Linked DNA regions of Macaca mulatta. The protein of the gene in region 2 interacts with the protein of the main gene of each other region in a biochemical or structural test. Links are inferred from orthologs where the notes say so. Each region holds a gene or a part of one and is shown on either strand. Other genes may lie near its edges.

Region 1 (4,132 bases), on a different chromosome or scaffold from region 2:
TTCATTCCCTCATGCTTTATCATTCACTGGCTCATTGACTAATGGATTTGTTAAAATTTTCATTTACTCTTGTATTCATTCAATCATGCTTTCTTCACTGACTGAAATTTGTCATTTAGCCGTTTATTCACTGTTCATTCATTCACTCATTCACTAATTTACTCAGTCATCCATCTACCTTTTCATTCATTTATCCACATACCCATTCACCTATGCATCTATCTACTTAGAGTTTTATCCTCCCATCAACTCATCCCTCCACTCAGCCATCTACCACCAATCCATCCACCCATCCATCGATCCACACATCCATGCACCCGCTCGTCCATCCACATACCCATCCATCTACCCATACATTCACCCACTTACGCACCCATCCAACTGCTCATTCCTCCATTCACTCTTCCACCTACCCACCCATCCATCCAGAGACACAGGGAAGAATCAGCACGCACCTCCTTGGTCTCCACCTGGGTGCGGGGGCAGGGGTGGAAGCCCTCCTCTTCTCTCTGGGAAGATAGAATGTGTAGAGAGCTATCACAACCCTGCCACAGGTTCCTGGGCTAGCCCCTTATTACCGCTACTTGCACTAGAGTTCTCACCTTCATTGGCTGGTGGTGGTGGTGGGAGTAGCTGGCGTCTGTCTGTGGATAGACAGATGGATTGGGAGCCAGGACCATGAGAGATAACTTTTCTAGTTCCCCATGCTTGCACTCACCTCTGCCCAACTTCCTTTCCTCCCCTGCGGCCTCCTCACCTCCACTTTGCCTCTGATTCCTTTTTTGTATCTTCTCCTGCACCAGGGCCCGGAAGGCCTGGGCCTCGCCCTCGTCTGCAAAGTTCAGCCCCGCTTGGCAGTCCTGCACATATCTTGGGGTCAGCCGCCTCCCAGGTCCCCCCACAGCTTTCCCATCTCCTCTCCACACCCCAAGTGAGGCCCGAGGGCTGGTTGGTCACTTACATCTCCAGCGAAGGTGTGGAAGAAGGGGGTGGGGGTGGAGTAGACAAGCTGTGAGTACAGCTCCTGTTCCCAGAGCAGCCGACCAGCCTGGAGAGGTGTAGGGTGGGAGGCACAGTGGCACTGAGGCACACCAGGGGTGGCAGGCCTTTGTTAGCTGGGCAGGGAGCAGGGTGTCTGGATTTGGGGGCCTCATGGTCTGGTTTGGAGATTTCCAGCTCAGCACCAGAGAGCTGAGATCTAAGGGTGTGGATGTGGAGTATAGTCTGGGAGCCATACACTTTTGTGAGAGGTTTGGATTTGGGGTTCGGGGCCCTAGATGTGGGACTTGGGAGCTTGAATTTCATAATTTAGGACTCTAGTCTTAGGAAGTTGAGGCTCATTCATAGATTCAATCCATGCCCTCCCCTGCCACCCCAGCCCCAATTCATGACAGGTAGGATTCTAGTATTTGGGAGTTGGAGATGAGATTTGAAGTTCAGACACGTAGACTTGGGAGTTTTGCGGAGGGTCCAGCTAAAGTAAGTGCAATTTGGGGTTTGTGGAGAAGAGTTATGACTTAGGAGTTTGGTGAATATTTGACAGTCTTGGGATCTGGAAGTTATGCTGGGTCCATCTTTATGGGTTTAGAAGGATGAATTTGGGGCTTAAACCTAGAAAGTTCAGGTCGGGGAATTGTGGAAAAGACTTTTTGCTTAAGAACCACCTCGGTATTTGAGTGTTCAGGAATTTTAATATGGGAATTCTGGGGTCTGTGCTGTGGATTTAAAAGGACAGAATTGGAGTTCAAGGATCAATGGAATATTCAACTTTGGGGTTTGTTGAACAGATTTATGACTTAGGAGCTTGGCAAACATCTGGGGTTCAGGAGTTTTGATGAGAGATTCCTGGGATGCAAAATGTTGAGTTTAGAATAGATTTGAGGTTCAGGTACAAATACAGTGCTCATTTATTGGAATTTGTGGAAAAGATTAGGCTTAGGCAGCAGACTAATACTGGGGGCTTTAGAGATCTTGATATGGAGACTGGGGCCAGCCATTGCAGACTTAGAAAGGCAAGCCAGAGTTTGCCATCTGGATGAGTCTTTGGTTCTGGGGCTCAGGGATTCACTGATCAGGTCTGAGGTCTTGGGACTGTGGACACATATGGACACAGATCTGGGTTTGCGGGTTGAGAACTGGCTTGCAAGTCCAGTCAGGGGCGGGGGGGGGGTCACCTGAAGGCCGTAAAGGCGAATGAAGTAGGACTTCTGGGGGTTATCCTTCACGAAGCACACAGCCCCACAATGCTCCTTGGTCCAGTGCTCAGCTCCAGGGGGCAGTGCCAGGTACAGCTGAACAACTGCAGTGGCCAGCGTCTGGGAGGGGAAAGCAGGGGTCAGTGGAGTCTGGTCAGGGGTAGCCACAAGGTCTTGGAGCCAGACCTGGTCCTTCCTGCCTCATGACAGTCATGGGCCCGAAGGAAGAGCTGCAGCCAGAGGGAAGGCAAGTAGACATTGAGATCTTCCTGGGGAGGGTGGATGATAACAGGAGAGTCTAGGAGAGAAGATGATGGAGAGGGAAAGGAGGAGCGGGAGGAGGGGAAGAGAGAGAAGGAGGAGAGGAAGAGGAAGAAATGGTGGGGACGGGGCGGGGGCAGGAGATCCCCAGCTCACCAAGCATTTTCGTCCAAGCATCTCGAAGAGTCGCTGGTTCTCGTGGTCCTGGAGGAGGGTGGAGGGTATGTTCTGTTGAACCGCTGGTGCTCCCCGGCCCCCAGGCCTTCCTCCCATTGGGCCCCCACTCATGGTGCTTTCTGCCCTCGTCTTCTCTGGCGAGGCTCTGGGTGCAGGGTAAGAAGAGGAACTTCCGCAGTGAGCAGCAAGGGAACAGGAAGTGCAAAAAACCACAAGGGACAAGGGAAACAAGTCCTCCAGGGGCCCCTTGGTGGGCCTGGCCTCCTCCTCGTTAGGCCGAGCTTGGGCCCTCTACCATCAGATTGGAACCCTCCTCCACTTGACTGCTTAGACCCATCTTTTGGATCAGCTTGGGTCCTCCTCCTCCTTTCTTACTGTCTGAGGCCCATCTCCTTCTGACTGGCTCAGACCCTCTTCCCTCTGGCTGGCAGTGAGAGCTTAGCCATTGGCAGCACATCTGTGTGCAGGGCACCCTGTGGCAAGGAGTAGTCATGGGCCTGGGTGGCCTCCTTCCTAAAGCACCCAGGTAGCCTGAGGCTGAAGCCCAAGGCCCCTAGTCCTGAAGGGTTACTACACTAAAACTTTTCCTTTTCGCTGGGGACAGTAGCTCACACCTGTAATCCCAGCACTTTGGGAGGCCAAGGCGAGCGGATCACTTGAGGTCAGGAGTTCGAGACCAGTCTGGGCAACATGGCAAAACCCCATTTCCACTAAAAAATACAAAAATGAGCCAGGCATGGCGGCATGCACCTGTAGTCCTAGCTGCTCAGGAGGCTGAGGTAGGAGAATCGCTTGAACCCGGGAAGCGGAGGTTGCAGTGAGCTGAGATTGCACCACTGCACTCCAGCCTGGATGATGACAGAGCAAGACTCTTGTCTCAAAAACAGCAACAACAACAGCAACAACACAACAACAAAAACCCTTTTCCTTTTAATTACAGAGTGAGCCCCTGTGATCCACGCCTATCCTGAGTGCTTAGACACTGCCAATGACGCATATGCCTCTGGTTCACTTCCCCATCCCTTACCCTTGCCTCCCTGCAGCTCCCAAATTACTTTCTGCTCATCTTTTTTTTTTTTTTTTTTTTTTTTTTGAGATGGAGTCTCACTCTGTCGCCAGGCTAGAGTGCACTGGCGCGATCTCAGCTCACTGCAACCTCAGCCTCCCAGGTTCAAGTGATTCTCCTGCCTCAGCCTCCTGAGTAACTGGGACTACAGGCCCGCGCCACCACGCCCAGCTAACTTTTTTGTAGTTTTAGTAGAGACAGGGTTTCACCATGTTGGCCAGGATGGTCTCGATTTCTTGACCTCATGATCCGCCCTCCTTGGCCTCCCAAAGTGCTGGGATTACAGGCATAAGCCACCGTGCCCAGCACATCCCTTTAAAAAAAAAAAAGGAACTTTATATCATATATGAATGCCTGAACAACATCTTGTTTAATTTTCATTGCACTTGAAGTTTGTAAAAGCACATAATCTTCAAAGGCTTGCTTTCTCCCC
Region 2 (3,500 bases):
CCCTCTGTCCCTCTAGAATGAGAGAGCTGGAGCCAAGTTAACCCCTGGGTCCTCCAGCCTCTGACTCACTCTGAGGCCACAAAGGCATGCTCCTTGATGGTTTGCAGGACATCTGAGAACTTGATCTTGGTGGTAAGGGTGTGCCCATGGTAAATAACTGGCATCCCATCTGGGCCGTCCCAGCAGTCCACTGGGGAGCAACATCATCATGGTCAAGCAGGCAGGCCTCCCATCTTCCCTCCCCCAGCCCCGGACCCCACGCACACTCAATGCAGCGACAGCCCATCCGCAGGCAGCGAGCATAGGCTTCCAAGGAGGACTCACTGGAGAACTGGTCCCCGGTCAGGTACCTGGATAGGCAAGGAGAGGCATGTATGGTCAGATAGGCCCTCCTGGGAAGAAGCTGGGTGGGCCCGAAGGAGCCACACTCACGTGTTGTGTGAGGAGGAGATCCAATAGTGGGAAAGGGGGTTGTTCATGGTGTCCGGGCATACTGCATCCAGCTGTGAGTTCCACACACTATTCTCTTTGGAGAACAGGAAGGTGACAAACTGTCCAGGAACATGTGGAAGGGAAGAGAAAGTGAGTCCCTGCCCGGTCCAACCCAAGATGGTAGGTTGGGGGTAGGAGAGAGAGTGCTCTGTCCCAACTGGGGGTGGGCAAGATGCATAGCAGGTAGGAACAAGGTGGCATCCCTAAGAAGCGTCTAGCTCCTGAAGCCCAGGTGGGGTTCTGGTCACCCCTACCCATTCTCTTGACAAAAAATGGGTGAAACGTCGGACTCACCTCATCCAGGAAGAAGTATGGCTCCTCGATCTCTCGCAAGGGGTCTCGGAGGAAGCTGAGCATGAACTCCTGCACCTGGAGGCGATCAACAGCCCACAGCTCCTGATGGGGTGGGGAGGGCAGGGAATGAGAGAAGCCTCCAGTCATTGATGAGCCCAGCCCCCCAACAACCTGACAGCCTGGGCCAATGTCAGCCCAGCCATACCCCCTGGTAGTCAAGAAGGAACTGCTGGAACTCAGGAAGGGACACTCGGCAAAGCTCCGGCCGCTCCCCAGCCCTGCAGGGAGAGAAGGTAAGCTAGCTAGCATGGTCAACAGACAACAAGGTGCCCCATGGAAGGCAGAACCCAACTCCCAGCCAGCACAGCTTCCCAGAATGGTCCAGCATGGTTCCCTACTCCCACTGCCTCCCACCTGGATCAGGAATCGCCCAGTGGTGAGATGAAGGGGGCCCAGGGAAAACCCCACCTCCCCACTCCAAACCAAACCTCAGAGTACTGGCTTCCAAGAAGGGGAGGTCCATCTGCAGGAAACAGAACCTGGTCAGGGCAAGAGCCCCTGGGAGGCCATGTGGGAAAGGGGCTAGTAAGAAGACAGGCTAGAGCAGCAGATGCGGGTAGGCCTCAAGAGGAGAAGAACTGGAGAAATGGCACCCAAAAGCCCCTAAGCAGGGCAGCAGGGCTGAGGCAGGCAGAGCTGGGGGGTGGGGTGGAGGAGCAGGGGCAGGGGTTGAGGGAGGGCAGGTGGCTCATGCACCGTCTTCTGGGCGCTGTACATGAGGCTGCGGTACAGCTGAGCAAACTGCCCGTAGGTGATGTCCCCGCTGCGCTGCTCCAGGTCCTGCATGGTATAGAGCGGGAGTGCCAGTCAGGCAGTCAGGGCCCCAGCTGCAGGGCTCTTGGCTTCCCCTGCCCCCAACTACAGACAGCCCTGGGGGGCACTTACCGTTAGCCGCTCTCGGAGGAAGCGCATGTTGGGGACCCGGTAGTTGACCTGGGACAGCATGTTCTTTAGGTCCTTGGCTGATATACTGAGAAAACAGGGACATCCCCAGTGGTCTCATCCAGCTTCTTATGACCTCTGACCTGTGGGTCGAGCCCACCTGGGGCTGGACAGGTAAACAACACTATTCTGGGAACCTGGAGTCCTGAGGGCGAGACTGGATCAGAACCCATGGGGTGACCAAGGTTAGTCCCTTCCTTTCTTTGGACCTCAGTTCCTCATCTGAGCAAAAAAAAAAAAAAAAAGCCTGTAATTCTGGCAAGGAAGATGTGAACAGATTCAGTAAAGTGGGTCAGGCATGGGAGGAAGAAAAACCACTCTCCAGGCCTCCCCTCCCACCGGCACTGCTCAGGCCTGTGCCAAGGTGGCAGTGAGCCCATCCAAGACAGAAGGCAGGGCTCACTCACAACTTCCCTGCTGGGGGCAGCACGGCAGCGGGTCCCTACCTGCTGCCCACTGGGATGCTGGGAGTTTGGTCCTCAGAACCCACTAACCCATGAAGGGGAGGGAGGAGGAGGTGCATGCTCCACCAGATACAATGACTGGCAACTGGGCACCTCCTGGGGCTAGACAGGGCCTGGCTCCAGGAAAGAAGCTCAGAGAACAAGGCCCCTGCTCTCCAGGGGTGTCCTGCCCATGATGTGAGGCTGGGGACACTGCTGGACCTGGCAACAGGATGGACGAGAAGGGGGAAGGGGGGCTTTCTCTCCTGGAAGGTGGTGTCAAGGAGGGGAGGGGAGGGTGGGGTCACCTCCTCTGAGCCCCAAGGGCCTGGGAGGAGGCACCAAAATTCCCCAAGGGGGCTGAGCGCCACACTGAGTGGATCAAGCGCTGCAGAGGGAGGGCTGGCTCTGTACAGGTGCCACCTCCTCTGATCCTCAGTCACCCAGGAGGTAGGTGCTATCAGGGTCCTCGTTTTCCAGTGAGGAAACAGAGGCCTTCTGGTTGCAACTGCCTGCATCACCAACCTTGCCCTCTGTGGTCTCTTTCCCATCAGCATACGAACAGCCTGTTACTTCTTCCACCAAAAACACGTGTCTTGCCCCTGCTTAGCTCTCCAAGTACTTGCCCTCTTCTTTGCTCCCCGCCACCGCAAAACTCCTTGCAAGAGTCATATTGCTCCCTCTCATTCCCGTGAGCCCCTCACCACTTGGCTGACACCGCTCTTCTCACCATGTTAAATCCAAGGGTCAATGGTCAGATTTCACCACTGTCTTCTTCCTTGGGCTGCCAGAACTCAGCACTCTGGGGGTTCTCCTCTTACCGCACTGTTTGTCCCCAACCCCTCCAATCTCTAATATGGGGGTGGTCTGAGGTCAGCCACTGGACCCTGCCCTTTTCTTGGTCTGCTTGCCCCCTAGGTGATCTCACCCAGCCCTGTGGCTTTCAGTGTTATCTACATACTCCCAAGTTAAAATCTGCAGCCCCCACTGTGTATGTACCTAAACTCAGTCTAACCACCTGCCTACTCAACAGCTCTCCCTGAACAGCTAACAGGCATCAGAAAACTTAACACGCCTCAAAGTGAACCCCTGAGCTTCCCTCCAAATGGGCTCGTCCCATGATCTTCTCATCTCAGTCAATGGCGACTCTGTTTTCCAGTTGTTCGAGCCAAAGAGCATACTATTATCCTCAATGCCTCTCAAACCCCAAAATCAATCTGTTAAGGACATTCTTTCTGGCTCTATCTTCAAAATACAACATGGCCAAAA
Region 3 (4,034 bases), on a different chromosome or scaffold from region 2:
CTAGATTTATGCTAAAATGCAGTTACAATCTATAGGATGACAGAAAAAGAAAGCACTTATTTAAATATAATAGGCACTTATTTAAATAGGAGAAGCTGTGACTTCATAGCAAGTGTTGGGGTTAGGAAACTGGGTGGATAAACTTGCTGATGCTGTAGATCTTAGTCTCTACATGAGATCACGTGGAAAATCTGAATTTGAAAGCTTTTTAGCTTCCTTATGTTTGCAATCAAATGACTGTACACCTTTTAATTTAAAAAGTACCATGAGGCACACACACACTCGCAGGAACTTTTTGGCGTAACAAAACTAGAATTAGATCTAAAGCTAACTGTAGGACTGAGTCTATTCTAAACTGAAAGCCTGGACATCTGGAGTACCAGGGGGAGATGACGTGTTACGGGCTTTGATAAAAGCAGCTGGCTTTGAATGGAAGGAGCCAAGAGGCCAGCACAGGAGCGGATTCGTCGAGCTCACGGCCATCGAGCCGAACCTCTCGCAGGTCCGTGAGCCGTTAAGGAGTCCTCCAGTCCAGACCCTTCGCCCCAAGCCCCTCGGGGTCCCCGGGCCTGGTACTCCTTGCCACGCGGGAGGGGCGCGGAAGCCGGGGCGGAGGAGGAGCCAACCCGGGGCTGGGCTGAGACCGGCAGAAGACGACGCTCTAGGGATTTGTCACGGACTAGCGAGATAGCAAGGCTGAGGACAGGAGGCTGATTGGGGGGCGAAGGTACACCCTAATCTCAACACAACCTTTGGGGCTAAGCTAGCAATGGTAGAGGAAAGATTCTGGACGTCCCTTCCAGGCCGCCACCTCGTCGCCTCCCCCTCCCCCTCCTCTTCCCCCCCCGCCCCGGCCGGAGCTGAGAGTAATTCATACAAAAGGACTCGCCCCTGCCTTGGGGAATCCCAGGGACCGTCGTTAAACTCCCACTAACCTAGAACCCAGAGATCGCTGCGTTCCCGCCCCCTCACACGCCCGCTCTCGTCATCACCAAGGTGGAGAAGAGCATGCGTGAGGCTCCGGTGCCCGTCAGTGGGCAGAGCGCACATCGCCCACAGTCCCCGAGAAGTTGGGGGGAGGGGTCGGCAATTGAACCGGTGCCTAGAGAAGGTGGCGCGGGGTAAACTGGGAAAGTGATGTCGTGTACTGGCTCCGCCCTTTTCCCGAGGGTGGGGGAGAACCGTATATAAGTGCAGTAGTCGCTGTGAACGTTCTTTTTCGCAACGGGTTTGCCGCCAGAACACAGGTAAGTACTGTGTGTGGCTCCTGCGGGCCTGGCCTCTTTACGGGCTATGGCCCTCGCGTGCCTTTTATTACTTACACGCCCCTGGCCGCTGTACGTGATTCTTGATCCCGAGCTTCGGGTTGGAAGTGGGTGGGAGAGGTCGAGGCCTTGCACTTAAGGAGTCCCTTCGCCTCGTGCTTGAGTCGAGGCCTGGCTTGGGCTCTGGGGCTGCCGCGTGCGAATCTGGTAGCACCTTCGCGCCTGCCCCGCTGCTTTCACTAAGTTTCTAGCCATTTAAAATTTTTGATGACCAGCTGCAACGCCTTTTTCCTGGCGAGATAATCTTATAAATGCGGACCAGGATCTGCACACTGATATTGGGGTTTTGGGGGCCGCGGGCTGCGACGGGGCTCGTGCGTCCCAGCGCACATGTTCGGCGAGGCGGGGCCTGCGAGCGCGGCCACCGAGAGTCGGACGGGGGGAGTCTCAAGCTGGCCGTCCTGCTCTGGTGCCGGGCCTCGCGCGGCGGTGTGTCGCCCCGCCCTGGTCGGCAAGCCTGGCCCGGTCGGCACCAGTTGCGTGAGCGGAAAGATGGCCGCTTCCCGGCCCTGCCGCAGGGAGCTCAAAATGGAGGACGCGGCGCCCGGGAGAGCGGGCGGGTGAGTCACCCACACAAAGGAAAAGGGCCTTTCCCTCCTCGGTCGCCGCTTCATGTGACCCCACGGAGTACCGGGCGCCGTCCAGGCACCTCGATTAGTTCTCCGAGCTTTTGGAGTACGTCTTCCTTAGGTTTGGGGGAGGGGTTTTGTGCGGTGGAGTTTCCCCACACTTGGTGGGTGGAGACTGAAGAGTTAGGCCAGCTTGGCGCTCGATGTAATTCTCCTTGGAATTTGCCCTTTTCGAATTTGGATCTTGGCTTATTCTCAAGCTTCAGACAGTGGTTCAAAGTTTTTTTCTCCCATTTCAGGTGTCGTGAAAACTACCCCTAAAAGCCAAAATGGGAAAGGAAAAGACTCATATCAACATTGTCGTCATTGGACACGTAGATTCGGGCAAGTCCACCACTACTGGCCATCTGATCTACAAATGCGGTGGCATCGACAAAAGAACCATTGAAAAATTTGAGAAGGAGGCTGCTGAGGTATGGGAAAGATGAACTAAAATGAGTTTTACCAGCAGAATCATTAAGTGGTAGTGATTTCCCCAGAACTAGTGAGTGGTTTAGATCTGACCCTACTTATTAAAATAGTTTGCTTTTGGTTACTTCTGTAACCGTATTGCTAGTGAGTAGTTTCGATTTGGATATTAATAGTCAAGATCCTACTTTAAAAAGTTTGCTTTTTGGTTGCTTCTGTAACCCTATCTAAGTGACTAAAATTGCTTAGGACTTGCAGTTGTAAAGTGGAAACTATGTGCCAATTAAGGGCTGGGGGCAAAGAAATTGAAGCTGGAGTTTGTGTGTTAGTAACCAAGTAACAACTCTTAATCCTTACAGATGGGAAAGGGCTCCTTCAAGTATGCCTGGGTCTTGGATAAACTGAAAGCTGAGCGGGAACGTGGTATCACCATTGATATCTCCTTGTGGAAATTTGAGACCAGCAAGTATTATGTGACTATCATTGATGCCCCAGGACACAGAGACTTCATCAAAAACATGATTACAGGGACATCTCAGGTTGGTGGGATTAATAATTCTAGGTTGTTTTTTTTTTTTTTTTTCCCTGAAATGCCTGTCTTGTGCATTGGTTTTGTCCTTTGGAGAGTTGACAGGGATATGTCTTTGCTTTCTTTAAAGGCTGACTGTGCTGTCCTGATTGTTGCTGCTGGTGTTGGTGAATTTGAAGCTGGTATCTCCAAGAATGGGCAGACCCGAGAGCATGCTCTTCTGGCTTACACACTGGGTGTGAAACAACTAATTGTTGGTGTTAACAAAATGGATTCCACTGAGCCACCCTACAGCCAGAAGAGATACGAGGAAATTGTTAAGGAAGTCAGCACTTACATTAAGAAAATTGGCTACAACCCCGACACAGTAGCATTTGTGCCAATTTCTGGTTGGAATGGTGACAACATGCTGGAGCCAAGTGCTAACGTAAGTGGCTTTCAAGACCGTTGTTAAAAAGCTCTGGGAATGGCGATTTCATGCTTACACAAATTGGCATGGTTGTGTTTCAGATGCCTTGGTTCAAGGGATGGAAGGTCACCCGTAAGGATGGCAATGCCAGTGGAACCACGCTGCTTGAGGCTCTGGACTGCATCCTACCACCAACTCGTCCAACTGACAAGCCCTTGCGCCTGCCTCTCCAGGATGTCTACAAAATTGGTGGTAAGTTGGGTGTCAACAAAGTTGAATTTGAGTTGGTAGAGTACTATCTTCCTTCATAGGTATTTAGTATGCTGTAAATATTTTTAGGTATTGGTACTGTTCCTGTTGGCCGAGTGGAGACTGGTGTTCTCAAACCCGGTATGGTGGTCACCTTTGCTCCAGTCAACGTTACAACTGAAGTAAAATCTGTCGAAATGCACCATGAAGCTTTGAGTGAAGCTCTTCCTGGGGACAATGTGGGCTTCAATGTCAAGAATGTGTCTGTCAAGGATGTTCGTCGTGGCAACGTTGCTGGTGACAGCAAAAACGACCCACCAATGGAAGCAGCTGGCTTCACTGCTCAGGTAACAATTTTTAAAGTAACATGTTCCTACCTTATTGCAGAGGCTAAAGTCATTTGAGACTTTGGATTTACACTGAACGCAAATCTTTTTTTCCAAGGTGATTATCCTGAACCATCCAGGCCAAATAAGTGCTGGCTA

What was found.
Region 1: the proteins of PLCG1 (region 2) and WAS form a complex in vitro, tested with the Homo sapiens proteins (2 studies listed by BioGRID). The link is inferred for Macaca mulatta from reciprocal best matches to the Homo sapiens genes PLCG1 and WAS.
Region 3: the proteins of PLCG1 (region 2) and EEF1A1 form a complex in vitro, tested with the Homo sapiens proteins (2 studies listed by BioGRID, with this or other methods). The link is inferred for Macaca mulatta from reciprocal best matches to the Homo sapiens genes PLCG1 and EEF1A1.

The regions. Positions count from the first base shown.
Region 1 is NC_133426.1:48,758,675-48,762,806, reverse strand, and holds the start of WAS (actin nucleation-promoting factor WAS), read right to left. Parts: upstream 2,801-4,132; 5' UTR 2,745-2,800; coding exon 2,613-2,744; intron 2,316-2,612; coding exon 2,175-2,315; intron 1,049-2,174; coding exon 962-1,048; intron 861-961; coding exon 758-860; intron 645-757; coding exon 603-644; intron 510-602; coding exon 456-509; intron 1-455. UniProt on the Homo sapiens protein: Effector protein for Rho-type GTPases that regulates actin filament reorganization via its interaction with the Arp2/3 complex. Important for efficient actin polymerization. Possible regulator of lymphocyte and platelet function.
Region 2 is NC_133415.1:94,025,340-94,028,839, reverse strand, and holds part of PLCG1 (1-phosphatidylinositol 4,5-bisphosphate phosphodiesterase gamma-1), read right to left. Parts: intron 1,817-3,500; coding exon 1,732-1,816; intron 1,627-1,731; coding exon 1,543-1,626; intron 1,310-1,542; coding exon 1,275-1,309; intron 1,065-1,274; coding exon 992-1,064; intron 889-991; coding exon 787-888; intron 552-786; coding exon 433-551; intron 351-432; coding exon 265-350; intron 191-264; coding exon 70-190; intron 1-69. UniProt on the Homo sapiens protein: Mediates the production of the second messenger molecules diacylglycerol (DAG) and inositol 1,4,5-trisphosphate (IP3). Plays an important role in the regulation of intracellular signaling cascades.
Region 3 is NC_133409.1:112,151,325-112,155,358, forward strand, and holds the start of EEF1A1 (elongation factor 1-alpha 1), read left to right. Parts: upstream 1-1,234; 5' UTR 1,235-1,247; exon of another isoform or gene 1,248-1,885; intron 1,886-2,193; 5' UTR 2,194-2,223; coding exon 2,224-2,367; intron 2,368-2,721; coding exon 2,722-2,901; intron 2,902-3,021; coding exon 3,022-3,318; intron 3,319-3,401; coding exon 3,402-3,552; intron 3,553-3,639; coding exon 3,640-3,896; intron 3,897-3,993; coding exon 3,994-4,034. UniProt on the Homo sapiens protein: Translation elongation factor that catalyzes the GTP-dependent binding of aminoacyl-tRNA (aa-tRNA) to the A-site of ribosomes during the elongation phase of protein synthesis.